Callithrix jacchus: one gene and its partners. The protein of the gene in region 1 purifies or fractionates together with the protein of each later gene. This does not show direct contact. Links are inferred from orthologs where the notes say so. Each region holds a gene or a part of one and is shown in the gene's direction. Other genes may lie near its edges.

What was found.
Region 2: the proteins of protein POLR1D (region 1) and POLR3E purify together in Homo sapiens (affinity purification with mass spectrometry; 3 studies listed by BioGRID and IntAct, with this or other methods). This does not show direct contact. The link is inferred for Callithrix jacchus from reciprocal best matches to the Homo sapiens genes POLR1D and POLR3E.
Region 3: the proteins of protein POLR1D (region 1) and POLR1B purify together in Homo sapiens (affinity purification with mass spectrometry; 5 studies listed by BioGRID and IntAct, with this or other methods). This does not show direct contact. The link is inferred for Callithrix jacchus from reciprocal best matches to the Homo sapiens genes POLR1D and POLR1B.
Region 4: the proteins of protein POLR1D (region 1) and POLR2H purify together in Homo sapiens (affinity purification with mass spectrometry; 4 studies listed by BioGRID and IntAct, with this or other methods). This does not show direct contact. The link is inferred for Callithrix jacchus from reciprocal best matches to the Homo sapiens genes POLR1D and POLR2H.
Region 5: the proteins of protein POLR1D (region 1) and POLR3K purify together in Homo sapiens (affinity purification with mass spectrometry; 3 studies listed by BioGRID and IntAct, with this or other methods). This does not show direct contact. The link is inferred for Callithrix jacchus from reciprocal best matches to the Homo sapiens genes POLR1D and POLR3K.
Region 6: the proteins of protein POLR1D (region 1) and POLR1F purify together in Homo sapiens (affinity purification with mass spectrometry; 3 studies listed by BioGRID and IntAct, counting the BioPlex papers as one, with this or other methods). This does not show direct contact. The link is inferred for Callithrix jacchus from reciprocal best matches to the Homo sapiens genes POLR1D and POLR1F.
Region 7: the proteins of protein POLR1D (region 1) and POLR1E purify together in Homo sapiens (affinity purification with mass spectrometry; 3 studies listed by BioGRID and IntAct, with this or other methods). This does not show direct contact. The link is inferred for Callithrix jacchus from reciprocal best matches to the Homo sapiens genes POLR1D and POLR1E.

The regions. Positions count from the first base shown.
Region 1 is NC_133506.1:146,860,106-146,863,605, forward strand, and holds the end of protein POLR1D, read left to right. Parts: exon of another isoform or gene 1-574; intron 575-1,327; coding exon 1,328-1,595; 3' UTR 1,596-3,054; downstream 3,055-3,500.
Region 2 is NC_133513.1:22,906,796-22,910,295, forward strand, and holds part of POLR3E (DNA-directed RNA polymerase III subunit RPC5), read left to right. Parts: intron 1-216; coding exon 217-266; intron 267-1,584; coding exon 1,585-1,704; intron 1,705-3,073; coding exon 3,074-3,159; intron 3,160-3,421; coding exon 3,422-3,466; intron 3,467-3,500. UniProt on the Homo sapiens protein: DNA-dependent RNA polymerase catalyzes the transcription of DNA into RNA using the four ribonucleoside triphosphates as substrates.
Region 3 is NC_133515.1:22,055,078-22,059,139, reverse strand, and holds the start of POLR1B (DNA-directed RNA polymerase I subunit RPA2), read left to right. Parts: upstream 1-1,262; 5' UTR 1,263-1,294; coding exon 1,295-1,471; intron 1,472-4,062. UniProt on the Homo sapiens protein: Catalytic core component of RNA polymerase I (Pol I), a DNA-dependent RNA polymerase which synthesizes ribosomal RNA precursors using the four ribonucleoside triphosphates as substrates.
Region 4 is NC_133516.1:13,344,881-13,347,499, forward strand, and holds the end of POLR2H (DNA-directed RNA polymerases I, II, and III subunit RPABC3), read left to right. Parts: intron 1-153; coding exon 154-237; intron 238-1,704; coding exon 1,705-1,822; 3' UTR 1,823-2,119; downstream 2,120-2,619. UniProt on the Homo sapiens protein: DNA-dependent RNA polymerase catalyzes the transcription of DNA into RNA using the four ribonucleoside triphosphates as substrates.
Region 5 is NC_133513.1:2,334,473-2,338,616, reverse strand, and holds the start of POLR3K (DNA-directed RNA polymerase III subunit RPC10), read left to right. Parts: upstream 1-1,344; 5' UTR 1,345-1,440; coding exon 1,441-1,551; intron 1,552-4,141; coding exon 4,142-4,144. Other genes in the region: SNRNP25 (U11/U12 small nuclear ribonucleoprotein 25 kDa protein), read right to left, coding at 978-1,019. UniProt on the Homo sapiens protein: Core component of RNA polymerase III (Pol III) which synthesizes small non-coding RNAs using the four ribonucleoside triphosphates as substrates. Can mediate Pol I proofreading of the nascent RNA transcript.
Region 6 is NC_133512.1:38,561,546-38,565,552, forward strand, and holds the start of POLR1F (DNA-directed RNA polymerase I subunit RPA43), read left to right. Parts: upstream 1-1,207; 5' UTR 1,208-1,228; coding exon 1,229-1,482; intron 1,483-4,007. UniProt on the Homo sapiens protein: Component of RNA polymerase I (Pol I), a DNA-dependent RNA polymerase which synthesizes ribosomal RNA precursors using the four ribonucleoside triphosphates as substrates.
Region 7 is NC_133502.1:144,462,817-144,466,316, forward strand, and holds part of POLR1E (DNA-directed RNA polymerase I subunit RPA49), read left to right. Parts: intron 1-629; coding exon 630-715; intron 716-3,080; coding exon 3,081-3,139; intron 3,140-3,500. UniProt on the Homo sapiens protein: Component of RNA polymerase I (Pol I), a DNA-dependent RNA polymerase which synthesizes ribosomal RNA precursors using the four ribonucleoside triphosphates as substrates.

The DNA.
Region 1 (3,500 bases):
TTTCTGTCGCCACTGTTTCTGTCGCCACTGTTTCTGTTGCACTCCACTGTCCTTCTCTCAGTTTAGTTTCCTCTTTGTTCTAGTTCATTCCTTTGTCACTCTTCTGGCTTGACCATTAAACAGGCACAGCACACTGAAAGTAAACATTGATTCTTCTCAAATATTTTCTCTGTCCTTTAAAGGCTCAAGAGCTACCTACTTGCAGCAGGAGGCCTTTTCTTTTTTTTCTCCCTTTTACTTCCAGATTCCGTGCCATTTTGGCTTTCTGAGGTGGTCTGAACTCTAAGTGATGAGTGACTGCCTGTGCTTCCCCTGTGCAGTACTAGTCCACACAGTTCCCACGGTGGAGTGTTGTTGGCTTGATTCGGAAGCATTGTGTGGGGTTCTCTGTAAATCACAATTTATTGAAAGGTGGCTGTTCTACTGCATTTTGTTTAATACCAGCCACCCTGAATAACATGATTCTGGGGATACTCCTAAAGTAGCCCATACTTTAGGCAGATACTTCAAGGCCAAGAGAAATACAAGTTCTCATTGGTGTAGGGTCATCTTTTTGAAAATGAAAGATTAACACCTGAAAAAGAAAATAAATAGTATGAAGCTCTTATTAGATCTCTAAGCGTGTAAATTAGCAATTTGATTGGTTGCAGCCTCTCCTAGGTGAACTTGAATCATGAAGCTACTTAAATATATCCTGTACTGAAATTCACCAGAGCAGGAGAGTGAGTAAAGCTCCCCTCCACAGAGCATAGCCTGGCATCCTGAAATAGAAATGGAAGAATTTTTTTAAGTAAAAGATTAGTGCATATTTTTTATTCTTTACACAATTTTTTTTTTCTAGAGCAGATCATTTAGCTCCTGTATTTAAGATACAGCAGAATATACTTTTTTGGCTCCTTGAAAAGGAACAGTTTTCACTATCTGGTAATAAAACACAACGCAGAATAAATTTAATCCAAAACAGATTATAGTCAAATCGGGCACCTACTAGTTGAAAGAAAATATTAAGTGATTCTGTTAATTCACAGTGTGGTCAGTACTGGTACATATGAACTTCAGCCGGGAAATTTAGTCTCAGGAAGGAAGAAAGATTTTAAAAGTGTTCAGACAGGGCCTGGGCAGTCTTGTCTCAAGAATTCAATCGTCTTGATTTTTTTTTCCCCTGGTACTCAGAGTTTACACTAGGTGGCATGCAAGGAAAGCTAACAAATTCATAAACTCGGTTCTGTGGGAGCAGGATTCTTTGGTACTAATCACGATAGTGGGTCCAGCTTTGGAGTTAACCATTTGATTTGTGATGGTTTTTCTTTTCTCCCCGCAACCCCAGGATGAAGTGTCCTCTTGCTGGTACCAATAAAAGATTTCTAATTAACACAATTAAAAACACATTGCCCTCTCATAAAGAGCAAGACCATGAACAAAAAGAGGACGATAAGGAACCAGCGAAGAGCCAGGCCCAGAAAGAAGAAAACCCGAAGAAACACAGAAGCCATCCTTACAAGCACAGCTTCCGTTCCCGAGGTTCCGTCAGTTACTCCCCACCACGGAAGCGGAGCAGCCAGGACAAGTACGAAAGGCGGCCCAGCCGGCGGTGAGGCCAGAGCCAGGGCCAGCCAGCCCTGCGGGCTCCGTGCTCCTTCGGGTGCGGTGTGCAGAGAAAGCGTTAGCTGGCAGGGCAAACATCTGAGAGCGACTTTTACAGTAGATCCTTTGTTGTTCTTAAAGAGGCTGCTGGCCACCGGCAAAAAATGACCTAGCAACTCTTCCAGGAAACAAGGACAAAGGAGGATGTCTTGGCAAGCTTCAGCTACTTCTGCAGTGTAGTAGACATGTATTATTGTTAGTCTATCTTGTTTGGAAGTGTGTTTCAAAATATGTGTAGAATTTAAAGTTTTCAGAGATTCTTAAAACTAGTTCCAATTTTTTGGTCATTTCTCAAAAAAAAAAAAACCACTTATAAATCGTATATGTTACTTTTTGGGGTTATCAAATTTAAAATTTAGAAATCATCAGTCCAGGGACCATATTTTTGAAAAGCTGTAGCCCTCCAAGGTCTGGGAATTTATCAAGAAACTCTTTGATAGCTCTGCATTTGTTTCTCTTTAGGTGAACAATGTAGGACATCCTCAAAGTGGCTTTGAATTTCATGCTCCACTTCAGTTACCAGAGGTTAAAAAATGGGTTCTGTTGTTTTCTGTGCATTCTCAAACTCATTTATTAGAACAATTTTTCTATATTTAATTTTTTTAAAACATAGGTTTTAAGTGGTGCTTTAAAAATATCCCTCACAAGTTAAAAAAATAGTTATTTCAGTGCTAGATCTTACCAGCTAAAGACTTACGATACCACTATTAGTATAGTTGTTCCAGAAATCTTCATTTTAAATAGAAGTGTTTACAGCATCTTCTCCCCCACCCCCCAGTATTGGTTTTCAGTACCTTCTTTAACATATAATTACAAACCTTTCAAACCTGTATTCCTTCTTTACACTCAGGAAATTGTCTCCAAGCACCCTCCTCCCCAGTCCACAAAAGGAAGAAGATGAAGATTCTGTCTCCCTGTTCCCCCTCCCCAGTTTTCCAAAGTGTCTGAGCATATGCCTGGCTGTCCCTAGATCATCACCATGCCACATCCCTGCTCCCCACTTCCTGGCAGCCAAGGAAAGCCCTTTCTACATACTAGAAAGAAATACATCTGAAAAGTTAGCTTTGGGGTGTTAGAAACTAGAATAGACTTCTCCGCCACCGAGCTGCTATGCCACACCCTCAGCCTGCTCGGGAGTGACAAACCCAAAGCATTTTAATCCACCCCTTCTCCCACCCCAGATCCCAGAGACTCATTCTGTGACTTTGTAACCACAGTCATTCCTTTCAAACACAGAGGAGGAATCATTGCTTCATCTGACTTTATTCAAATATAGTAATGCATTAGCCAAAATTATTTGTGCAAAATTTGAAATGTTTTGTATTTAAATATTAGAAATAGCACAAAGTCATGGAGTTTTTAAAAATTGTTATAATTAAGTAAAAATAAAGCTGAATTGTGTCATTTGTCTATGCATTCTGTATTTTTTTTATCTTTTATATTTATTTAGTTTGAAACAGAGTCTTGCCCTGTGTCCTAGGCTATAGAGTGATGGCACGCTCTCAGTTTATTGTAACCTCCACCTCCCAGGTTCAAGTGATTCTCTTGCCTCAGCCTTCTGAGTAGCTGGGATTACAGTTGTGTGCTAGCATGTGCGGCTCATTTTTGTATTTTTAGTAGAGACAGAATTTCACCATGTTGCCCAGGCTGGTCTCAAACTTCTGCACTTAGGTGATCCACCTGCCTCGGCCTCCCAAAGTGTTGGGATTACAGGCGTGAGCCACTGCACCTGGCCTTGCATTGTGTATTTATAACACACTAACAAGTTCATTATCCTTTAAAAAGAAATGACTGAAATGAACACATTTTTGTACTCAAAATTAAGGAAGCTTTTTAGCCTAACTATACTTCTATGA
Region 2 (3,500 bases), on another chromosome or scaffold:
GCCAGAAGCACCCACCCCACAGTCGTCACAAACAAAAACGTCTCCACACATTGCCCAGTGTCTCTGGGAGACGAGGCAAAAGTGTCCCCACTTGAGAACCTCCGGCCTAGGCAGCTCCCTCTTGGAGGAGAATTCCCAGCACCCTTGAGGGTGGGGTTGAGAGAAGGGAGGTGGGCGCTCCCCAGGACTGCAGGCAGTGGCTTGTCTCTCTTGCAGCAGGGGACTCTTCACAGGATGAGGCGGAAGACGATGTTAAGCAGATCACGGTGAGCCCTGGCCCCTGGGGGAGGTGGGTGCTACCTGGGTGGCAGCAGGACCAGTTTAGTAACTCAGCAGCCCCGAGACCAAGGGGTAGCGGGTCCTCGAGGGAAACAGGTGGAACAAACAGGGTCCATGCTTTTGAGCCTTCTTGCTGGGTGCCTTAATGGAACATCCTGAGTTTCCCAGCTGCACATAAGACAGAGCCCTGGCTGGATGCAGGAGATGGGTCCCTGAGGCTCGGCTGGAATCACCTGGGAGCAGGAAGCTGGGGCCAGGAGCTCCGAGGACCCACAGGCCAGCTCTGCCATGAAACCTGTATCTTTTTTTCTTTTTTTTTTTTTTTTTTTTTTTGAGACGGAGTTTCCCTGTTGTTACCCAGACTGGAGTGCAATGGCACTATCTCGGCTCACCACAACCTCCGCCTCCTGGGTTCAAGCAATTCTCCTGCCTCAGCCTCCCGAGTAGCTGGGATTACAGGCGCGCACCACCATGCCCAGCTAATTTTTGTATTTTTGTAGAGACAGGGTATCACCTTGTTGACCAGGATGGTGTCGATCTCTTGACCTCATGATCCACCCGCCTCAGCCTCCCAAAGTGCTGGGATTATAGGCGTGAGCCACCGCACCTGGCCTGAAACCTGTATCTTAACGAGCCAAAGTCAATTAACTGTAATTCTATCCTCTTTATGCAGCACAGATGAATAGTTTTTGTTTTAATAGTTATTCCTGAATTTTAAGGATTTTTCAAAGAACCTTAACGTTCCATTTATGGTTTGTAAAGTTTTCCCTATTTAAGCATATTTAGATTAAAATGAGTAGTACCAAAAAAAAAATGCTACACATGGAATGATCATATACAAGCCTGGCTAAAGAGCGGTGAGTGTTCGGATGTCCTTGAGGACTGGGGAACACTGGTGTAACTGACACGGCGGTGGCTCAGAGAGCTCACCCTCTTCTCTCAGTAGCTTCGTAGGACTTTAGAAACTCCTTTCGGCTCTGGGGGACATGCAGCCCTTTTTAGAAAAGGCGTCCTTGGGCCTGCATGCTGTAAGGACTCTGCCAGCTCTCGTGCCTGGGACTTTGTAATCCCCCTCAAACCTGTGGGCTGGGCAGGCGCGACCAAGTATAAGCCACTCCCCAACGTGTGCAGACAGCTCTGGGAGGGACGCAGTTGGAACGGAATTTAAACGACCTGTGCCAGGAAAGGAAGGGGGGCGGGGAAAACCTCGATACAGAGTTCTCTGGTCTCCTGGCAGAGGCCGAGATGGCAGCCCAGGAAGGGTCACAGGCCTGAGGGCATGAGTTCTTCCCCTTGCCACCCTAGGTGCGGTTCTCCCGGCCCGAGTCAGAGCAGGCCCGCCAGCGCCGCGTGCAGTCCTATGAGTTCCTGCAGAAGAAGCATGCGGAAGAGGCCTGGGTACACCTGCATTACTATGGCCTGAAGGTGAGCGAGGGTGAGCGGGCCTCATGGAGCCCTGGGGGGGACACCCCGTGCCCAGAGGGGCAGGATGTGGCCTCCATGTCTCACCTTGAACTTAAGTCACATTCATGAGTCCTAGCCACAAAGAGATGATTTAGTCCTGTGGGCAGTTTCCACTTCATTCCAGCCAAGCCATTTAGCGTGGACCCCAGGGGAGCAAGAGAAAAAGATTCGAATCCGAGGTTCCCTGGGTGGGGTTTGGCCCCAGGTGTGGGCCTCTTGCTGGGCTGGCAGCGGGACTGGTGTCTGGTTACATATTTTTCCTGTGCCCAGGTCCTGAACGCAGGCCAGACATGTTCTCTGGTGCTGCCCTAGAAAGTTGGTCATCTGTTGTCTGCCCCAAAGCTCCTGGCACGCCTGCCCAGGAGGATTTTTTACTATATTCAATTTTCATCTGGTGCACTGACTTTATTGTTTTGTTTTGTTTTGAGACAGTCTCGTTCTGACACCCTGGCTGGGGTTTAGTGGCTCAATCTCCGCTCACTGCATTCTCTGCATCCTGGGTTCAAGCAGTTCTCCTGCCTCAGCCTCCCAGGTAGCTAGGACTACAGGCACCGCCACTACACCAGCTAATTTTTTTATTTTTTATTTTTAGTAGAGATGGGGTTTCACCATGTTGGCCATTCTGGTCTTGAACTCCTGACTTCAAGTGATCTGCCTGCCTCAGGCTCCCAAAATGCTGGGATTACAGGCATGAGCCATGGCCACCTGGCCCTGGTGCATTGACTTTAGAACCTAACCCTTGAAACTATGTATCAAGTGAGGGAAGCTTCCAAAGATACCATGGACCAGGCTCCCAGTGTTTTCTGGGGTGGGGAACCTCTGGAACCTTCCTGGAAGAGATTTGTGTTGACAGACCCTTAAGACTCAGGGTCAAACCTTGGAACATTGCAGTTTCCTGCTTTATGACCTTGGGCATGTTACCTGACCTCTCTGAGCTTAAGTTTTCTAATTTATAAGATGAGAGTAGTAATCATAGTACCTACCTTGCCGAGTTATTTTGAGAATGGGATGAGTTAGTGTATTTACACCCAGTGGAACAGAGTCCAGCACATCCTAGGTGCTCAGTGAACGGTAGCCATCATTTTGTCATTGCCAGTGATGTACCTGTGTTACAGACAGGGCACCAAGGCTTGGGGTTGGGGCTGGGCATGTCATAAGGCCAGGAAGATGGGTGGCTGAGGCCACATCAGAGGCCTTGGGTGCCATGCTTAGGAGGTTGGACGTGGTCGTATGACTGCCCATGGAGTGGAAGGCAGGGGAGACCTTGGGAAGGGGGCCCAGACCAGGGCCATCGGCTGAGGCTCTTTCACACCCTCCTCTCCTCCAACAGGACAGCCGCTCTGAGCACGAGCGCCAGTACCTGCTATGCCCAGGCTCGAGTGGGGTGGAGAACACAGAGCTTGTCAAGTCACCCAGGTGGGAAGGGCTAGGCCAGCATGTAAGCTGGATGCCAGCCCAGGGGCCCCGGGGTTGGGGTGTTCCCTTCGGTGTGGATCCTCCTCTAGCAGCAGGGTGGAGCCCATTGTCCCCTGGAGGAGACCAAGGGGGTGGGCCGGGAAAGAGATGTTTCCCTTTTCTGCAGGGGCTTGGGGCTTCTGGGGGAGGGCAGTGGTGGGCTGTCTGAGGAGGGTCCAGCCTGGGTCGGCCCTGAGCCTCTGCCCCTGCCCTATCCCTGCAGTGAGTACCTGTTGATGCTGATGCCGCCCAGCCAGGAGGAGGAGAAGTGAGTAGAAGCGGAGGGATGCTCTCTCCCTTTT
Region 3 (4,062 bases), on another chromosome or scaffold:
AGAATCACTTGAACTTGAGAAAAGGAGGTTGCAGTGAGCCAAGTTCATACCACTACTCTCCAGCCTGGGTGGCAGAGCAAGACCCTGTCTCAAAAAAAAATTAAATTAAAAAGTGGAAGCTAAACATTGGGTACACATGGACATAAAGATGGAACAGCAGACACTGGGGACTACTAGAGCAGTGAGAGAAGCAGGGGAGCAAAGGTTTAAAACTACTTATTGGATACAAAACTACCTATTGGAACTTGGGTGACAGGTTCAACCGTGTCCCAGACCTCAGCATCACGCAATATACATTTGTAACAAACTTGCACAGGTACCCCTGATTCTAAAATAAACGTTGAGAAGGGGAAAAAAGAATGCAAAGCTTGTTTAACTTACAAAATTTACTTAATATACCACTTTAGTAGAAAAAAGGAGCAAAAAGCACATGATCATTTCAATATACACTGAAAAAGCATTTGGCAATAACACTCTTGGGAAGAAAACCTCTCAACAAACTAGAAATAAATTACTTTCTCAACTTGATAAAGAGCATCTTTGGAAAAACCCACAGCCTACATCATATTAATGGTGATGTGAATGCTCCAGTTGGGAGCTTTCTTCCAACATCAGGCACAAAACAAGTATATTTATTCTTGTCCCTTCAACATTGTACTAAATGTTGGACGCCCCCCTACCACAGCCTCTCCATCTGAGACCGCCCGACCCCTACCCCACCTCCTTCCCCGGGCCTCCCCCAGGACTCCAGTCCAGACGATGCGGGGAGGTTAGCGGGCCCGACCTTGGCCTTCCAGGGGTGAGCCTCGCGATTTAGGAGTTGGGTAAAGAGCCCGGGGCCCGGCATCCGATTTTTCATTGAAACAACGACTTTGTCCGGATGACTCCCCAGGGTCGGCATCAGCGTGGGACTTGGAACAGGTTAAGGGACCGGATAGATGGGAACCTGAGAAGACCGCTTACCTCCAATCCTAATTGACTGAGCCAATGAGAGCCAAAGAGGTCACACGCTCAACTGGGTGAGGAGTGGGTTTCGCCTTCTTTAGCAGAGGAGGGAGATGCGTGGAGCGGAAGATGGGAGAAGGGGCGGACCCGCCACGCTCTGGCTGGATACAGCTTTAACCGGCCCGTTCACTCGACGGTTTTGGTTCTACGTCGACCCCATAAAAACCGTAGGGCCTAGGGCGGGCGGAACAAGAGGGAACTACATTTCCCAGCAGGCTGCGGAAGCGGGACTCCGGCCACTACTTCCGGCGCGTACTGAGCGACGGGTGTTAGGTGTGCAAGTAGCCGCATGGATCCCTGCAGCCGGTGGCGAAACCTTCCCAATGGGCCTAGCCTAAAGCACTTGACCGACCCGTCTTATGGAATCCCGCGGGAACAGCAAAAGGCAGCGTTGCAGGAGCTGACGCGGGCTCATGTGGAGTCCTTCAACTATGCTGTGCACGAGGGTCTCGGCCTCGCGGTGCAGGTGAGTGCGGCATCCACTGGCGCCCTTGCCGCGGAGAGACCAAGCTCGAGGCTGGCGGGCGAGAGGGGCCAGGCGGAGCTGGAGGAGGGAGGGGCGGGGGTGAGGTCTGGGCCTTGTGGGGCGCGGGCGGTGACAGGGTCCCAGAGAAATGGCTCAGAGGCCACAGTGTGACCCAAAATGCGTTTGCTCCTTGATCCTGACAGGCTCAGAGGGTAAGCGGGAGAGCACACGTGTTGAACAAGACGCAGAGCTGGGCCTCGTGGAACGTGTATTCGAGTCGTCTAAGAGATGTATTCGTGATTTCTGGATTGAAAAGTGATTGCGAACCATAGTTTCTTGTTGGATAGTTTCTGGGTTCTGTGAGAGTGAGGAAATGGCTTATTGGGGGTGTGCTTCCCAACCATTCACAATGCACATGCCTTTGTATCACTTGAAGACACCTCTCCAAAACGTACCTCAAAATATTCTGAACGTATTTGTAGGTACAGTGTAATGTACAAGGTTATCCTTCAGTTTCCTTTTCTTAGAGCTTTAAAGAGAGAAACTACTCATTTGTTCTGAATTAAGTAGGTGCTAAAGAAGGTATAAATGAGTCGTAAAGGCAAGATTGAATCGAAAAGTGTAATAGCATTACTAGCGTAGGGTAATGGTAGCAGAATTGAGGTGAGGATGGTGGGGGAAAGTTTCGTTTAGTAAGTATCCCCAGTGTCTCTAGGCACTAGGCTCTGAGGATGTGAAGGCCGCAGTCCCGTGTAAGAGACAGTTCATACATTTAAGTGGTCCCTGTCGTGTTTTGGGGTTAAAGGAGTGAAGATAGGAAAGTAGTCCATGCCAATACGCGAGCACTGCTCTGTCAAGGGATTTTATGGGCTACTGTGGGAGCATATAGGCAGCGCAACTAGTCCAGGAGTTTGAGAAAAGGCAGGATTAGATGAGTTCAAGAGGTGAGAAACATGCATTCCGTCCAGGGGAAGAGTAGAGCAGAGTCACATGCTTAGGGGACCCTACCTGTGGTTTTGTTGTGTAAGATTTGTGTTGTGAGAGATACGGGTAGAGATAATGTGAAGAGCTTTGATTGCCAGTCTGATACTTGAACTCTATTCCGCAAATAATACGGGAGGCATTAAAATTTATTTTTTGGGAAGACAAGAGTGGTGGGGATATTTGTATGTATTGTGCCTGGATTCTTAGAGTATCATGTCTGTGAGAAAAAATACCTAATTAAAAGTTAATTAGACCAGGTACAGTGGCTCACACCTGTAATCCCAGGACTTTCGGAGGCCGAGGCAGAACGATGGCTTGAGCCAGGATTTCAAGACCAGCTTGGGTAACATAGTGAAACCTCGTCCTCTGTAAAAGTTAAAAGATAGCAGGGCATGGTGGTGGGCACATGTGGTCCCAGTTACTTAGGAGGCTGAGGTGGGAGGCTAACTTGAGCCCAGGAATTCAAGGCTGCAATGAGCTATGATTGTGCCACTGCACTCCAGCTGGGGTAACAGAGCGAGACCTTGTCTTTAAAAAAAAGATAATCAAATTGAGAAATTTTAGAAAAGCACTAATTCGGGCCGGGCGCAGTGGCTCACGCCTGTAATCCCAGCACTTTGGGAGGCCGAGGCAGGTTGATCACGAGGTCAAGAGATCGAGACCATCCTGGTCAAAATGGTGAAACCCCGTCTCTACTAAAGATACAAAAAATTAGCTGAGCATGGTGGCACATGCCTGTAATCCCAGCTACTCAGGAGGCTGAGGCAGGAGAATTGCCTGAACCCAGGAGGCGGAGGTTGCGGTGAGCCTAGATCGCGCCATTGCACTCCAGCCTGGGTAGCAAAAGTGAAACTCCATCTCAAAAATCAATCAATCAATCAATCAATAAACCAATTGATTGGGTGTGGTGGCTTTTGCCTGTAATCCCAGCACTTTGTGAGGCTGAGGCAGGCGGATCACTTGAGGTCAATCAAGAGTTCCAGACCAGCCTGGTCAACACAGTGAAACCCTGTCTCTACTAAAAATACAAAAATTAGCCGGGCATGGTGGCACATGTCTGTATTCCCAGCTACTTGGGAGGCCGAGGCACGAGAACCGCTTGAACCCTGGAAGTGGAGGTTGCAGTAAGCTAAGATTGCACCACTGCACTCCAGCCTGGGCGACAGAGCAAGGCTCTGTCTCAAAAATAAATAAATAAACAGAAATAAAAATAAACCAATTGTATGTTAACATTTTTATGAAAATCATTTTTCAGAGCAAAAAAGAAATTAGATGAATTGCATTATTAAAAATCTTTTTAATGTCTGGCTTAATGAAAAGACAGCTGGATTCTCATGTCTGCTTCTGCATTCAGCTCCTTGTGATACATTGTTTTGGTTGAAGTAGATGAAGAAAATTTGGCCCTGCACAGAAAATAATGTCACAACTTATCTAGGACTGTAATAATAACATATTTGAAAATGTTCTGTAAAACACAGTAAAGTAAATGACTACTATTTATAAAGCCAAGGGGAAAAAAAAGTTTTATCATATTTTTATGTACTTACAAAATGTAATTTTGCCTACTTTCTTTGGAGTGAATTCCTCTTGTGAGTCAGAATTTATGG
Region 4 (2,619 bases), on another chromosome or scaffold:
CTCACAGAATTGCTGTGAGGACTAAATGGCGTCATGTTTATAATGTGCCTGTTGTTAAAATGCTGGCATCGAGTTACCAGTTACCATTTTTAAATGGCATCTTTTATATTGTTAATTACTGTTAAGAATAACTTTGCTACTCTTGCTCCATAGGGCTGACCAATTTGAGTATGTAATGTATGGGAAAGTATACAGGATTGAGGGAGACGAAACTTCTACTGAAGCGGCAACACGCCTGTAAGTTACATGATCTTGTGAGGATTGTTTTCCCCCTCCCTGTTCTGAGACTTTGAGTTATGCTTCTGCTTCCTCTGTTGGGTCCTTCTCCTTAGGCACCTCAGACATAGGTGGGAACTAGAAAGAAATGGTTATTAGAGCAGTTTCCAGTCTGAATTGTAGACTGCCCTTTGTCAGGCCCTCCTGGCCTAGTGGTCCAGAAGAGAAACTGGTCATCTCCCTGTTAAAGTATGGAGGAACCAAATGCAGCATTAAGTGATTATACTATTAGGCTGTGTGTGTGTGTGTGTGTGTGTGTCTTTTCCTTAAAATCTTATTAAAACAATATGTGCTGTTTGTAAGTAATTTGAAATGCGGAAGAGAATGTGAAGAAGAAAAAAAACCCTGTCATTCCATACCCAGAGAGAACCTTTTACATAGACTTTTTTGCATATCCTAGTGTTCTTTTTTTAAATTTATTTTTAATTTTTTGTTAATATCCTAGTGTTCTTAACATCTATATTTTTCCTTTGAGACTGCGGTGTTAATTACCTTTTTTCTGCTTTTTGCTTAACATTATGTAAAACATGTTTTGGCCGGGCGTGGTGGCTCACACCTGTAATCCCAACATTTTGTGAGGCCGAGGTGGGTGGATCACCAGGTCAGGAGTTTGAGACCAGCCTGGCCAACATAGTGAAACCCCGTCTCTACTAAAAAAATTACAAAAAATTAGCTGGGCATGGTGGCAGGTACCTATAATCCAGGTACTTGGGAGGCTGAGCCAGGAGAGTTGCTTGAACCCAGGAGGCGGAGGTTGCAGTGAGCTGAGATCTTGTGCCATTGCACCCCAGCCCAGGAGACAGAGAGAGACTCCGTCTCAAAAAAAAAGAAAAAGAAAAAGAAAATGTTTCCCCATGTTAGTGTAAAGCTTTCTTAAACATTTTAATAGTTAGATAACATTTCAGTAAGTGGATCCCATTCCCCTGATTTGGAGCATATAGGTGTTTTTCGACTTTGCTAATAGAAAGAACAATGCTGGCTGGGCGCAGTGGCTGATGTCTCTAATCCCAGCACTCTAGGAGGCTGAGGTGAGTGGATCACCTGAGGTTGAGAGTTTGAGAGCAGCCTGACCAACCTGGAGAAACCCCATCTCTATTAAAAATATAAAATTAGCCAGGTGTGGTGGTGTACACCTGTAATCCCAGCTACTTGGGAGGCTGAGGCAGGAGAACTGCTTGAAACCGGGAGGCAGAGGTTGCGGTGAGCCAAGATCACACCACTGCACTCCAGCCTGATCAACAAGAGAGAAACTCTGTCCCAAAGAAAAAAAGAACAGTGCCTTACACATATCTGTACATTCATCTTTGTCAGAATTTTGGTTCCTAGTGACAAAACAGTAGAAAGATGTTATTCTCTTTGTTAGGCTGAGATGGAGAGCTGCTGAGTAGTAGCTGCTCCAGACTCATGGCATGCGGCCTTCTGTTTCAGCTCTGCCTACGTGTCCTATGGGGGCCTGCTCATGAGGCTGCAGGGGGATGCCAACAACCTGCATGGATTTGAGGTGGATTCCAGAGTTTATCTGCTGATGAAGAAGCTAGCCTTCTGAACCTCGCCTGAAGCCAGCCTTGCTGCCACGTCACTCAGGTCCTGGACATCGTTCTAGCTTGAGTTGCAGCTGCTCTTGATTACCTGTTGAGGAGGGGCTGGTTCCCTGTCCACTGTGGCTGCATCTTTAACTGGCCTGCACTCAGTTAGAAACTCACTCGCCTGTGAAAGACACAGTGGGAGAGCTTAAAATCAATAGGAAGCTTTGTGTATATGATTTTTAATCAAATGTTACTTTTTCAGACTGCCCCTCCCCTTTTTGTAAAAAGTTCGTTTACTGTAAAATCATTTTTTCCAATTTGTCTGTGGTGTACTGTTTCTGGCCCGCAGCCAGCTGATCACTTGCCATTGTAGGATCTATTCCAGCCTTTTGGTATCTGGGTTCAGGGTTATCCCAGTCTCCTGGCTGACTGTTCCCAACGTTTATCCTCCAGTGTGGTTTTCTGTCTGGGAGAGGGAGTGTTGTGCTTTTGGCTCCTGAGGGCACCCCAGGCCCAGAAGATACCACCCATTTGGCACAGAAGTTTGAATTGGCAAGGAGCCCTGCTCGTGTCCTTCCAACACTTTCAGTCTCTTAGAGAGTCAGTTCACATTGACTTGAATGAGTCACTTGCATAGTCTCATTATTTCATTATTTTTGTGGAAGATTTGGGTAGAGGCTTTTAGCTACAGGCATGGGGGATGACTCTGAAGAGTCGGAGGAGAGGACTTGGTGCTTCCGGAGGCAGGTGGAGGAGCTGGCTCTCTGCTCTACATTCCAGTGGTGACCCGGGAGGGAGGGTAAGTGGAAGTGGACAG
Region 5 (4,144 bases), on another chromosome or scaffold:
GGCCAGGGCCTGGGACTGGGACTGGGGTAAAGCAGGTGTGGGAAATTTACCAGGGTAGCAAAAAACGGTATTAACTATAAATATTTTAACACAACATTTAAGAAGCACAAGGCCAATTAAAAAATCCATGAGCAAAATATCAAACATTTAGAATTGGCCGGGCGCGGTGGCTCATGCCTGTCACCTCAGCACTTTGGGAGGCCGAGGTGGGCAGAGCACGAGACTGAAACCATTCTGGGCAGCATGTTAGATCGTGCTACTGCACTCCAGCCTGGCTCTGTCTCAAAAAAAAAAACCCACTCAAACAAAGTATCGTGCCAAAGCATGTTGGTGCTTGAGGCAAATGGAACAATCAGTGCTACGAATCTTGCTCTTGTTTAAAACTAGATTTTTTTCTTTACTGTAGGCTTTTTTTTTTTTTTCATCAACTTTTACTTTTAAAACTATTACAGACTGGGCGGGTGGCTCACACCTATAATCCCAGCACTTTGGGAGGCAGAGGCAGGAGGATCGCCAGAGCCCAGGAGTTCGATACCAGCCTGGGCAACATAGTGAGACCCCCCCCTCTCTACAAAAAATTTAAAAATTAGCTGGGCGTGGTGTCCCGCACCTGTGGTCCCAATTACTCGGGAGGCTGAGGTGGGAGGATGGCTTGAGCTCAGGAGGTCCAGGCTACAGTAAGCCGAGATCGCGCCACTGCACTCCAGCTTGGGTGACAGAGCATGACCCTGTCCCCCAGACCCCCTCTAAATACAATTACATTAAAAGGTCATTTATTGTCACTCACTAGTGAGGTTTCTGGTGCCTCTTTAAATTTCGCGCCCCAGGCGAGTGCGCCCTACCCAGGTTAAGACCCTCGTTTACACCCAGAGGCGCCTTCTCCCATCAGCACCTTCAGAGGCTGCACGTACCCGAACGCCCCGGCTCCCGGCCCCCGGGGGAACGACCCCAGCCCCCCAGCCTCCGCCCGCACACACCTGGATCGGCAGATCGCAGAGCAGCGGGTCCTGCACCACCATGGCCAGACCCTCCTGGAACACGTCCACGGCCTCGGAGTGAGGCAGCGTCTCCTCTTCGTCCTCATCGTCCTCTTGCGCCTCGGGCCGACTCGCGGCCTCGACCTGCTCCAGGACTGCGCGTCTCAGTAGGGCCCCGCCCGCACTGCCAAGCCGCACTACGGAGGCCAAGTACGCAGGCGCAGGAACGGGGGCCCGCCCCAGCGAGGCCGCCCAGCCATTGGTGCATCGAGGGGAGGGGCAGTTGCAGTGACCAATGACAAGTACGAGATAGCCTGCTGGGCGCGCAGAATCGCCCTGTCTATTGGTTGGCTGGGCGGGGCGGGGCGGCTGCCGGCACCGACGTGAGCTCGAGGCGGGCGGTGTGTCGGCGCTGAGGGACGGCGGGAGCTGCTGGGAGCCGGGCCCTGTGGAGTCGGAGACGATGCTGCTGTTCTGCCCCGGCTGCGGGAACGGGCTGATCGTGGAGGAGGGACAGCGCTGCCACCGCTTCGCCTGCAATACGTGCCCCTACGTGCACAACATCACCCGCAAGGTGGGACTCGAAGGCGGGCGTCTCTCGCAGGACTTCCGCTTCCTCCGACTGCAGCGCCTTCGCCGCCAGCCCCGGCGTGTCTGTGCCTCTGCCCTTTCCTTCTCTCGTTTTTTTTTTTTTTTTTTTTTTTTTTTTAAAGTGAGACATCCTCTCGCTCTGTTGCCCAGGCTGGAATGCAATGGCGCGGTCTCGGCTCACCGCAACCTCCTCCTCCAAGGTTCAAGCGATTCTCCTGCTTCAGCCTGCCGAGTAGCTGGGATTACAGGCGCCCGCAACCACGCCCGGCTAATTTTTTTTTTTTTTTTTTTTTTTTTTTTTTTTTTTGAGACGGAGTTTCGCTCTTGTTACCCAGGCTGGAGTGCAGTGGCGTGACCTCGGCTCACCGCAACCTCTGCCTCCTGGGTTCAGGCAATTCTCCTGCCTCAGCTTCCTGAGTAGCTGGGATTACAGGCACGCGCCACCATGCCCAGCTAATTTTTTGTATTTTTAGTAGAGACGGGGTTTCACCATGTTGACCAGGATGGTCTCGATCTCTTGACCTCGTGATCCACACGCCTCGGACTCCCAAAGTGCTGGGATTACAGGCTTGAGCCACCGCGCCCGGCCTGGCTAATTTTTTTTTTTTTTTTTTTTTTTTGTATTTTTAGTAGAGACGGGGTTTCACCGTGTTGGCCAGGCTGATCTCAAACTCCTGACCTCGTGATCCGCCCGCCTCTACCTCCTAAGGTGTTGGGATTACGGGAGTCAGCCATTGCGCCCGGCTGTCCGCTCTTTCTCGCGCCCCCTTCCAGTCGGCAGCGGATCCCGTGGGCTCTGCTTTCCTGTACACCCGGCTAGGCCGCCGTTTCCCGCCTCCCTGGGTTCCTGCTCTCACGCTTGCGCCCCTTACTGCGTTCGCAGCAGCGGCCACGGCGATTCCGTAAGGGCCGAGTCACACAGGTCCGTGTTGTGCGCAGAAACTTTCGACCTTTCCCAGCTCACGCAGGGGAAAAGCCGGAGTCCTCCAGGACCTACCAGGTTCCGACACTGAGCCGCTGCCCGGCGCTCCTCCTGTTGCCCTTTGCCCCATCAACACCAGCCTCCTGGAGGACTGGCACTTAAGGTTGCTTGGTTCACTCTTCCCCTAGAGCCGGCTTACTCACTGGTCTGGTCTTGTCTTCAACGTTGACTGTATTTTAAGTTGCAGCCCTTCCTTCTCAGTTATCCTCCTTCCCTTTTTTTTTTTTTTTTTTTTTTTTTTGAGACGGAGTTTCGCTCTTGTTACCCAGGCTGGAGTGCAATGGCGCGATCTCGGCTCACCGCAACCTCCGCCTCCTGGGTTCAGGCAATTCTCCTGCCTCAGCCTCCTGAGTAGCTGGGATTACAGGCACGCGCCACCGTGCCCAGCTAATTTTTTTGTATTTTTAATAGAGACGGGGTTTCACCGTGTTGACCAGGATGGTCTCGATCTCTTGACCTCGTGATCCACCCGCCTCGGCCTCCCAAAGTGCTGGGATTACAGGCGTGAGCCACCGCGCCCGGCCCCTCCTTCCCTTTTTAATTGTTTCCATAGGGCTTATTACCTCCTAATATATTATGTAATGTATTGTGTGCTTTGTTTATTAATAGTAGGACCTAAGGTCTAGGCGGGCAGGGTTTTTCTCTGTTCCTTTCCATGTTCTATTCTGAACAACTAAAAGGAAACCTATGACATAGTAGCTGTTCAGTAAGCAGATGATGCACTGTATTATAACTTATTACTTTTCCTTAATAATACAGATTTGCTTTTTAGAATACCTTTACTTTTGTTTTTTTTTTTTTTTTTTTTGAGACACCGTTTTGCTCTTGTTGCCCAGGCTGGAGTACAGTGGCGTGATCTCGGCTCACTGCAACTTCCATCTCCGTGGTTCAAGTGATTCTCCTGCCTCAGCTTTCCAAGTAGCTGGGAGTACAGGCGTGCGCCACCACCGGCTATTTTTTGTATTTTTAATAAAGACAGGGTTTCACCATGTTGGCCAGGATGATCTTGAACTCCCAGCCTCAGGCGATCTTGCCTTGGCATCCCAAAGTGCTGGGATTACAGCTGTGAACTGTCTTTTTTTCTTTTTTTGAGATGGAGTCTTGCTCTGTTGTCCAGGCTGGAGAGCAGTGGTGTGATCTTGGCTCACTGCAACCTCCATCTCCCAGGTTCAAGCATTTCTTACGTCTCAGCTTCCCGAGTAGCTCAGCTACTTCATCCTCCTGAGGCATCTGCCACCACGCCCTGCTAAATTCTGCACTTTTAGTAGAGATGGGGTTTCACCATGCTGGCCAGGCTGATCTTGAACTCCTGACGTCAGGCGATCTGCTTGCCTTGGCATCCCAAATTCTAGGATTATAGGTGTGAGCCACCATGCCCGGCCAGAATACCTTTACTTTTCAGAAGTTAGAACGTCGTGGTGTGACCTCAGTCTTAATGTTTGCATACTACTCCGTTTTGTACTGTGTTGTGGGAGTGTAGAGTCTGAAACTGTGGGAAGAGTGAATTCTTATGCAGTCCTGAAATTTGAGGTTTGGAGGCCCAAGTTTGCACCATTTGGCTACTTTGAGTCTGAAGGCTTGTTTTTGTCAGGTA
Region 6 (4,007 bases), on another chromosome or scaffold:
TGTTTCTTTGGAGGAGGGATGAGACATGTGGGCCACTGCAGTGAACAATACAGATTATGGTACCCGCTTTAGTGACTGTAGGAATCTATTGATGGAACAGGCAAGCAAATGGGCTGTTAATATAAAATTAACGTAAAAACGAACATAGATGGTTACTTACTCCTTATAGAGAAAAAGGAATAGGGTGGTTGAAAACTCTTTGAGAAGGAACAGAATGTAAAATCTAAGCTAAAAATTCATAGATGAGTAGAAGTTACCCTTGTGAAAAATGTTATATTCCCTGATAGAAGCAACAGCTTAAGACTAAAGAAAGAGACCTGAGAGTGGATTAAGGAGCATGATAACATTAGGGCGGGGAGTCTTGCAGCTGGTCTAGATCTTGTGACAAATGAAGCTGAAGAGAGAAGCTGTGGGCTGATCACAAAATGGCCTTGTAACTTATAAACCATTTTCAGGAGTTTATGTTATCCTGGAGGGACACAACATGATCACATGTTTCAGGGAAGCTCTGGCTGCCGCAGAGTGTCCTCCCGACCATTAAGCTAGGCTTCCACAGGCAGAGTGTCCTGAAGTTTTGGCAGCAGGAGAAGAGGATAGTGTCCAAATACAATATTTATACATAAGGCAATACAGGCCTTCAGGCTGATGTGATATTTGGGGATACAAAAGAGGATCCGAGGCTGACACCTTGGCTGTGACGTGATTCCCTAATTTAGCAATTGCATAATGAGGAGAGAAGCGGAACAGGAGAGAAATAGTGGGCCCGTTTTCAGACATGTTGCATTTTAATTATCTGAGCTGTTGCTTAGGATTTCGTGTACTGCATAAAATATACTCCATAAATATTTTGAATCTTTATTGTACAGTACAAGTTTGTAAAATTGTACCAAACCACCTTACCACTGGAAATTATCAAACTGAGAACCCCCCTTTTTAAGCTACCTAGTAAATAAACCCAGTAAGTTTCAGTGGGAAAAACACACATTTGCCCGCCCTCAAAAAAGCAGTTGTTTGGCTTCGCGCATGCTCAATATGTACTTGGGGCTCTTAAACTCCTCTTCAAAGAGCGAAAAACCTGTTTCCCCCTGCTGGCCAGACTGCGTAATGCAGCGTCAAGAGGGCAAATTCCTAGGGGCGTGGTAGTTGGTGGATGACGTAAAAAGAGCGTCGGGGACAGGCGATTGCGCTTGCGTCAACGGTGCGCGCCGCGGGAACCTTGACAAGCAACATGGCTGCGGGTTGTTCAGAGGCGCCGCGGCAAAAGGCGGCTTCTGATGGGTCTCTGGTAGGGCAGGCTGGCGTCCTACCTTGCCTAGAGTTGCCGACTTATGCCACTGCTTGTGAGCTGGTGAACAATCGCTACTCATGCCTGGTGGCCGGGCCGCACCGAAGGCACATCGCTCTGTCGCCCCGCTACCTTAATAGGAAACGCACTGGCATTCGAGAGCAGCTGGATGCGGAGCTCCTGCGCTATTCTGAGAGGTACTGATCTCTTTGCCTGTTCCTTCTTTTGTGCACGGGAAGTACCAGCAGGTGGATGTGCTGATGACGTAGCAAAAAAGGGAGAAATGGTAAAGGTCGCACTGCCCCCCAGAGCTTATACCCGTGGAATTTTAGAGTCTTGATCCGTCCCTCAAGGCCAGTACCGCTCTGGTAAAGATCTATACAGGGTCCCTTTCAGATAGAGAAGAAAACTTAAAGGTGAAGTTCAGGTGTGGGCGGAGGAAGTGGAGATTCTCGCTCCAGATCCCTGATGGTAGGGTTAGGAACAGAGCAGGGGTCTGGAGACCTAGTAGGCCCGGTTCTGTATGGCATTCAACGTTTCATTTATCCCCTTCCGGATGATGTTTTCTCATTTGACAATAAAAATTTGGTTTGCAGTGCTTAAGTAGATTCTCATTCCATAGAAGATTGCACATGAAGCATTAATACAACTGTTCTATTTGTAAAACGTGAAGCACGTTTTTGTTGGATTTTGCTCTGGTAATTTCCCCAGGTTCTCTTCTTTTGGATCTGATCTGGGGATGATGAAAATGCCATTAGTTTAGTGTTGTTGTTGTTGTTGTTAAGACGATTTATGCAATCGAACTAGTAAACCTGTTGCTTTTGGGTGAGAAAAACCCAAAACGTATTCATTTATATTACAGTATTCAAAAGCAACTTGAAAACTCAGAATTACAGAAGTATGTGTGTGGAGGGGGTGCAGGCATGTGCTTTAGTATTCCTCTGGACTATACTTTGGTTCAAAAGAGAGGGTTCTAAAACTAGAGTGAATGGATTTCCTAGGAATTCATGATTGCCCTTCAGGAATTCCCATGTGAAGTTCCTTGGGTGCTGGTATCCAAAGCTTTTACCATTTTCTTAAGGGATCCTGGACCAACACACACAGGCTGATAGTCAAGCATGTCTAGAATATACAGCTTCTGCCAAGCACCAACACACAGTTCTTGTATGTTTATATTATATACTGAGAATTTGAGATATAAAAACAAACAAAAAATTAAATCCCTGTTTCAAGGAGCTATATAAGCTGTAGTAGAGATACAGATTCAAGCCAATAAATAGTGAAGTGTTAAAATTTGACAGAAATCTAATAAGGTAAGGAGTGTTGAATTTGGATCTTGGGACCTTTGAGAACAACTTGACAGAAAAGGGTACTTTCACATGATAGTATTCCAGACAAAGAGAGTGGCATAAACAAACGGATACTGGATGTGAACTGGTATGCTATGCCTAGGGAGCTGTATCTATTATATAAGCAGAATAAGGTGTATGTCAGGGGAAAGGCATTGGAAGTCACTGGAGAGAAGGGCAGGGGGTCAAAAATGACTCAGAGTATGGCTATTTTGCTTTTCCCTTCCTGCCATTGCCAGTTTTTGGTTTTAGGGGTGAAAAGTATGGTTGTTTTTCCTTTTGTGTTTCTGTTTTCTTAGGCAGGGTTAGTGCTTCATCCTCTCAATACCCTTTAACTCTGAGACCTCACACACTTTTGAGAAAGTAGCACATGTTTGTAGTCCTGGCATATCAGATTTGCACTTTAAGAAACAGCACTTGGTAGCCTTAATGGTTAGCTACCAAATAGGATGAGAATGTGGACAAGGAGATGAATTAAGATAATATTATAATTGTCTAAGAGAAAATGGTTAGAGGGGATGGTTTTTAGATTTAAGATTATACAAAGTGGTCATAACATCTGGAAACACAAGCAACTATTTTGTTTTCTGTCATCAGTATTGCCTGCACTTGACAGGCTAGGGGAAAGTCACCCAGAGTGGCTCTGAACAGATCTGGATACCATTCCTTCCACATTACTTGAGTATGCTGAAGACTCCTATTTATTCAGGTGCAAATCAGGCACCACACTTTGAACTATGCTTTGCTAATAAGGGACAAAACATTGAATATATATTACCAAAGAACTAAAATGAGGCTACCACCTTGCCCTGATACCCATTTAGAAAAACAAAAGTGAAGGAGGAAAAAGTTTATAGTGTTGGGTGCCTGTGTTCACATATCTGATGACTTTTAATAAAATCTCCCCTGAATTTATATATTGCTGAATTCCTGATAATTTTAATATATATTAAAACTATGCAAAAATGACTTTGTGTTTACGACTTTTAAGAGTCAAATTATGTGCCTAGCTATTTGTAAACAGATTTGTCCCTTTATTCAAAAGTCAGAGCTATTAATATTTCCTCATTGTACAGGATGGTCCTGTACATGGCAGACTCTTTTCTTTCCTGGATTCGACAAGGTTTGTGATAACCATGAATAGTATCACAAATTTCCAAATGGCCCACTCTTCCGTGCCCCACAGGGGACCACAGTCCTCCTTCCACTTGAGAATCACTCTCTGATAGTTGAGAGATTTGATTAGGGGAAATAAAGTCTTAATTTTTGTTTTTCTCTCTAATATGGCAGTTACTTTTTCTTCCTATTCTCTAACTCTGTTTTCTGTGTCCCTAACATTTTCTTAGTGATAGGATGATTCCATCTTAGGAATG
Region 7 (3,500 bases), on another chromosome or scaffold:
CAGGAAAAGGGCTAGGCGCAGTGGCTCACACCTGTAATCCCAGCACTCCTGACCTGAGGTCAGGAGTTCGAGACCAGCCTGGCTGACATGGTAAAACCCTATCTCTACTAAAAATACAAAAATTAGCCAGGCATGGTGGGATGCGCCTGTACTACTTGGGAGGCTGAGACAGTAGAATTGCTCTGGGAGGTGGAGGTTGCAGTGAGCTGAGATCGTGCCACTGCACTCCAGCCTGGGAGACAGAGCAAGACTCTGTCTGAAAAAAAAAAAAAAAAAAGGCCAGCTGTGGTGGCTCATGCCAGTAATCCCAGCACTTTGGGAGTCTGAGGCACGTGGATCTCCTGAGGTCTCGAGACCAGCCTGACCAACATGGAGAAACCCCATCTCTACTAAAAACACAAAATTAGCTGGGCCTGGTGGTGCATGCCTGTAATCCCAGCTACTCAGGAGGCTGGGGCAGGAGAATCACTTGAACCCAGTGGCAGAGGTTGCTGGGCACCAGGATCGTGCCATTACACTCCAGCTTGGGCAACAAGAGGGAAACTCCATCTCAAAAAGGAAAAAGGAAGCTGTACAAATAATATTTTTGAATAATCCATTGTTACTTCTATTATTCCTTCTTTATTCAGGCACTTTGTGGGAATTTTGAACAAGACCTCTGGCCAAATGGAAGTATATGATGCTGAATTGTTTAACATGCAGCCACTGTTTTCAGGTAGGTCCCAGCCATGAAAGCTGACAGAAACAATGCATAGTTTGGGTTTGCTGGATTAATTGGCCTGAGTTTTAGATTTATAAACACATTTTGTAGTTATTTTCATTTATTTATTTTATTCTTTTTTTCTCTGCTTTGTCTGTGTTGAGAAAATGGTTATATATATATATTGTGTGTGTGTTTTTTTTTTTTTTTTTTGAGATGGAGTCCCACTCTGTCGCCCAGGCTGGAGTACAGTGGTGTGATCTCGGCTCACTGCAACCTCCACCTCCCAAGTTGAAGTAATTCTCCTGCCTCAGCCTCCCAAGTAGCTGGGACTACAGGCGCATGCCACCACACTTGCCTAATTTTTATATTTTTAGTAGAGACGGGGTTTCACCATGTTGGCCAGGCTAGTCTCAAACTCTTGACCTCAGGTGATCCACCTGCCTCAGCCTCCCAAAGTGCTGGGATAACAGGCATGAGCCACTGAGCCTGGCCTAGAGGTTTGTATTCAGCATGCACTTATTGATGATCTCCTGCATCAGGCATGAGGCTGTGGATATGGCAGTAAGCAAGACATCCTGTCCCCATGGTGTTTAGAGACTTGAGGTGGGAGGTTCATAAAAGCAAGCTGTGCAATGATCAGAGCAGAATATTAAAGGACATGTCTGATATAAAATCTTTTCCATCAAAGACCTTTCTTAATTCTTAACCGTTATAATTAGGATAAAGAGGTTTTAGAATCTCTGGTAGACAAAAAATTGCTTATTAGGTTGTATAGTAACTTTCATGTTGAGGACAAGTCTCCTCACTAATTTGGGGAAGATGTATTTTTTTCCCTAATCTAGTGGAAGAATTTACATTGCTTCTCTGCTTTGTCATGTTAGAATGCTCAGGGCTAGAGTGAGACCTTCCAAAATAATAAATAAGAGGGTCATACTTAAGGGGCTTCTGTTCCTTAAATCTCAGAACTTGAATCCTTAGTGATGCTCTTGAATATTGAGAACCATGGCAGGATAGCGTAGTAGATAAGAATCGCTGGGATCATGGTGAATCTGCCTGATACCTCAGAGGCATTACTTCCAGCTTTATTCTCTCAAAGCAGTGCTTCTACCCCTTTTGAGAATCTGATGAGGACCTGGACCTACTTCTGAGAAACGTATATAACACACAAATATATATATGGGATTTTAAAAAAATATGGAATTTTACACCTAATTTTTATTTTTTTTTGAGACCCAAGTCTTACTTTGTCACCCAGGCTGGAATGCAGTGGCACCATCTGGGTTCACAGAAGCCTCTGCCTCCCAGATTCAAGCGATTCTCCTGCCTCAGCCTCCTGAGTAGCAGGGGTTATAGGTGTGCACTACCATGCCCGGCTAATTTTTGTACTTTTAGTAGAAATGGGGTTTCACCACGTTGGCCAGGCTGGTCTTCAACTCCTGGCCTCAAGTGATTCACCCACCTCAGCCTCCCGAAGTGCTGGGATTACAGGTGTGAACCACTGTGCCTGGCCAAATTTTACACATAATTTTAAAGGGCTCTTGAGTCCTGACACCTGTCTGTGAATTTCGTAGGGGTCCCTCTGCTTTGCAAACATATATAACTATATTTAAGTCATTCTCCAATTGTTCTTATAAAATCCAAGGAGGCAAGGAAAATTGTAATTTTAACATGTTAATTAAACAGATTTTTGCTCTTGTATGTAAGAAATTTGTAAGTAGGAGTTTATTCTAGCTAGTACACACACACAGATAACATTTATCTTAAGTCCTTATTATGTGCTAGTCACTGTTCTAAGCACTTTTGATGTACACAGCAACCTTCTGGAGTAAGTACTGTTGTTTTTCTTTTTAACCAGTGATGAAAGTGGCACAGAAGTTAGATGACCTTGTCATGGGTGATGTCTGAGATAACAGGCAAGGTCACTCGAGAGCTTGTGCTGTTGTCTGCTAGGTTCTACTGCCCCTTATTTGAGTAATTTGTAGATGATTAGAGAGCATCGTATAAATACCACATACCTCATGTTCATGCCTGCTTTTAGGTCTTTCACTAAGAAAGCAAAATTATTTCTTCAGAAGAGCCAAGGACTTGTTTTCCAATCCTGTTTGCCACCACCTGGTGAACTGCCCTGGGGCGAGTCATTTCTAAAATGAAGAAGTTGGGCTGGATGACCCCTTCATTTGACTCTCTCATTTATTCTTCAAGTTCTTTAATTGTATACTAAAGCTACGTATTAAATATTCACAGTATGCACTCATGTTAGGCTCAGGGAAGTCCTATAGTAAAAAAATCTATTATTCTTAGATAGACAAATGAATATTAAACCCTATTACTATTTGTAAGCCTTCCACTTGACTTTTCTTTCTGTCTGTTTTGATAGATGAATCAGTTGAGAGTGAACTGGTACAAGAGAGTCAGACCAAAACTTATAGAGAAAAGGTGAGTGTGAGAAAATGAAGATGTGGGACCTTACGCAAGTTCCTTCTAAACCCTGGTTTTTCCATCATTAAAATGAGCTTATTGAACTCAAGGGTCTGCCTAGCTGCTCCCAGCTCATTCAGTCTGTTTCGCTGGACAGTTAGTTTGTACCTGCAGAAGCCTTCTTGGTCCCACAGAGAGAACAGCCCCTCTCCCATCTGGGGCACACAGCTCTGTGCCAGTGTTTGATGTTGGTTCTCCAGGCTGATACAGGTGTAGCATGATGCTTATTTTTAGGATTTTGTCCAAGTTTTAGAATATATTGGTTGTAGCCTGAAAACTTTCATGTTAAAACAAAGTAAACTTTAGGATTTTCAGTGTA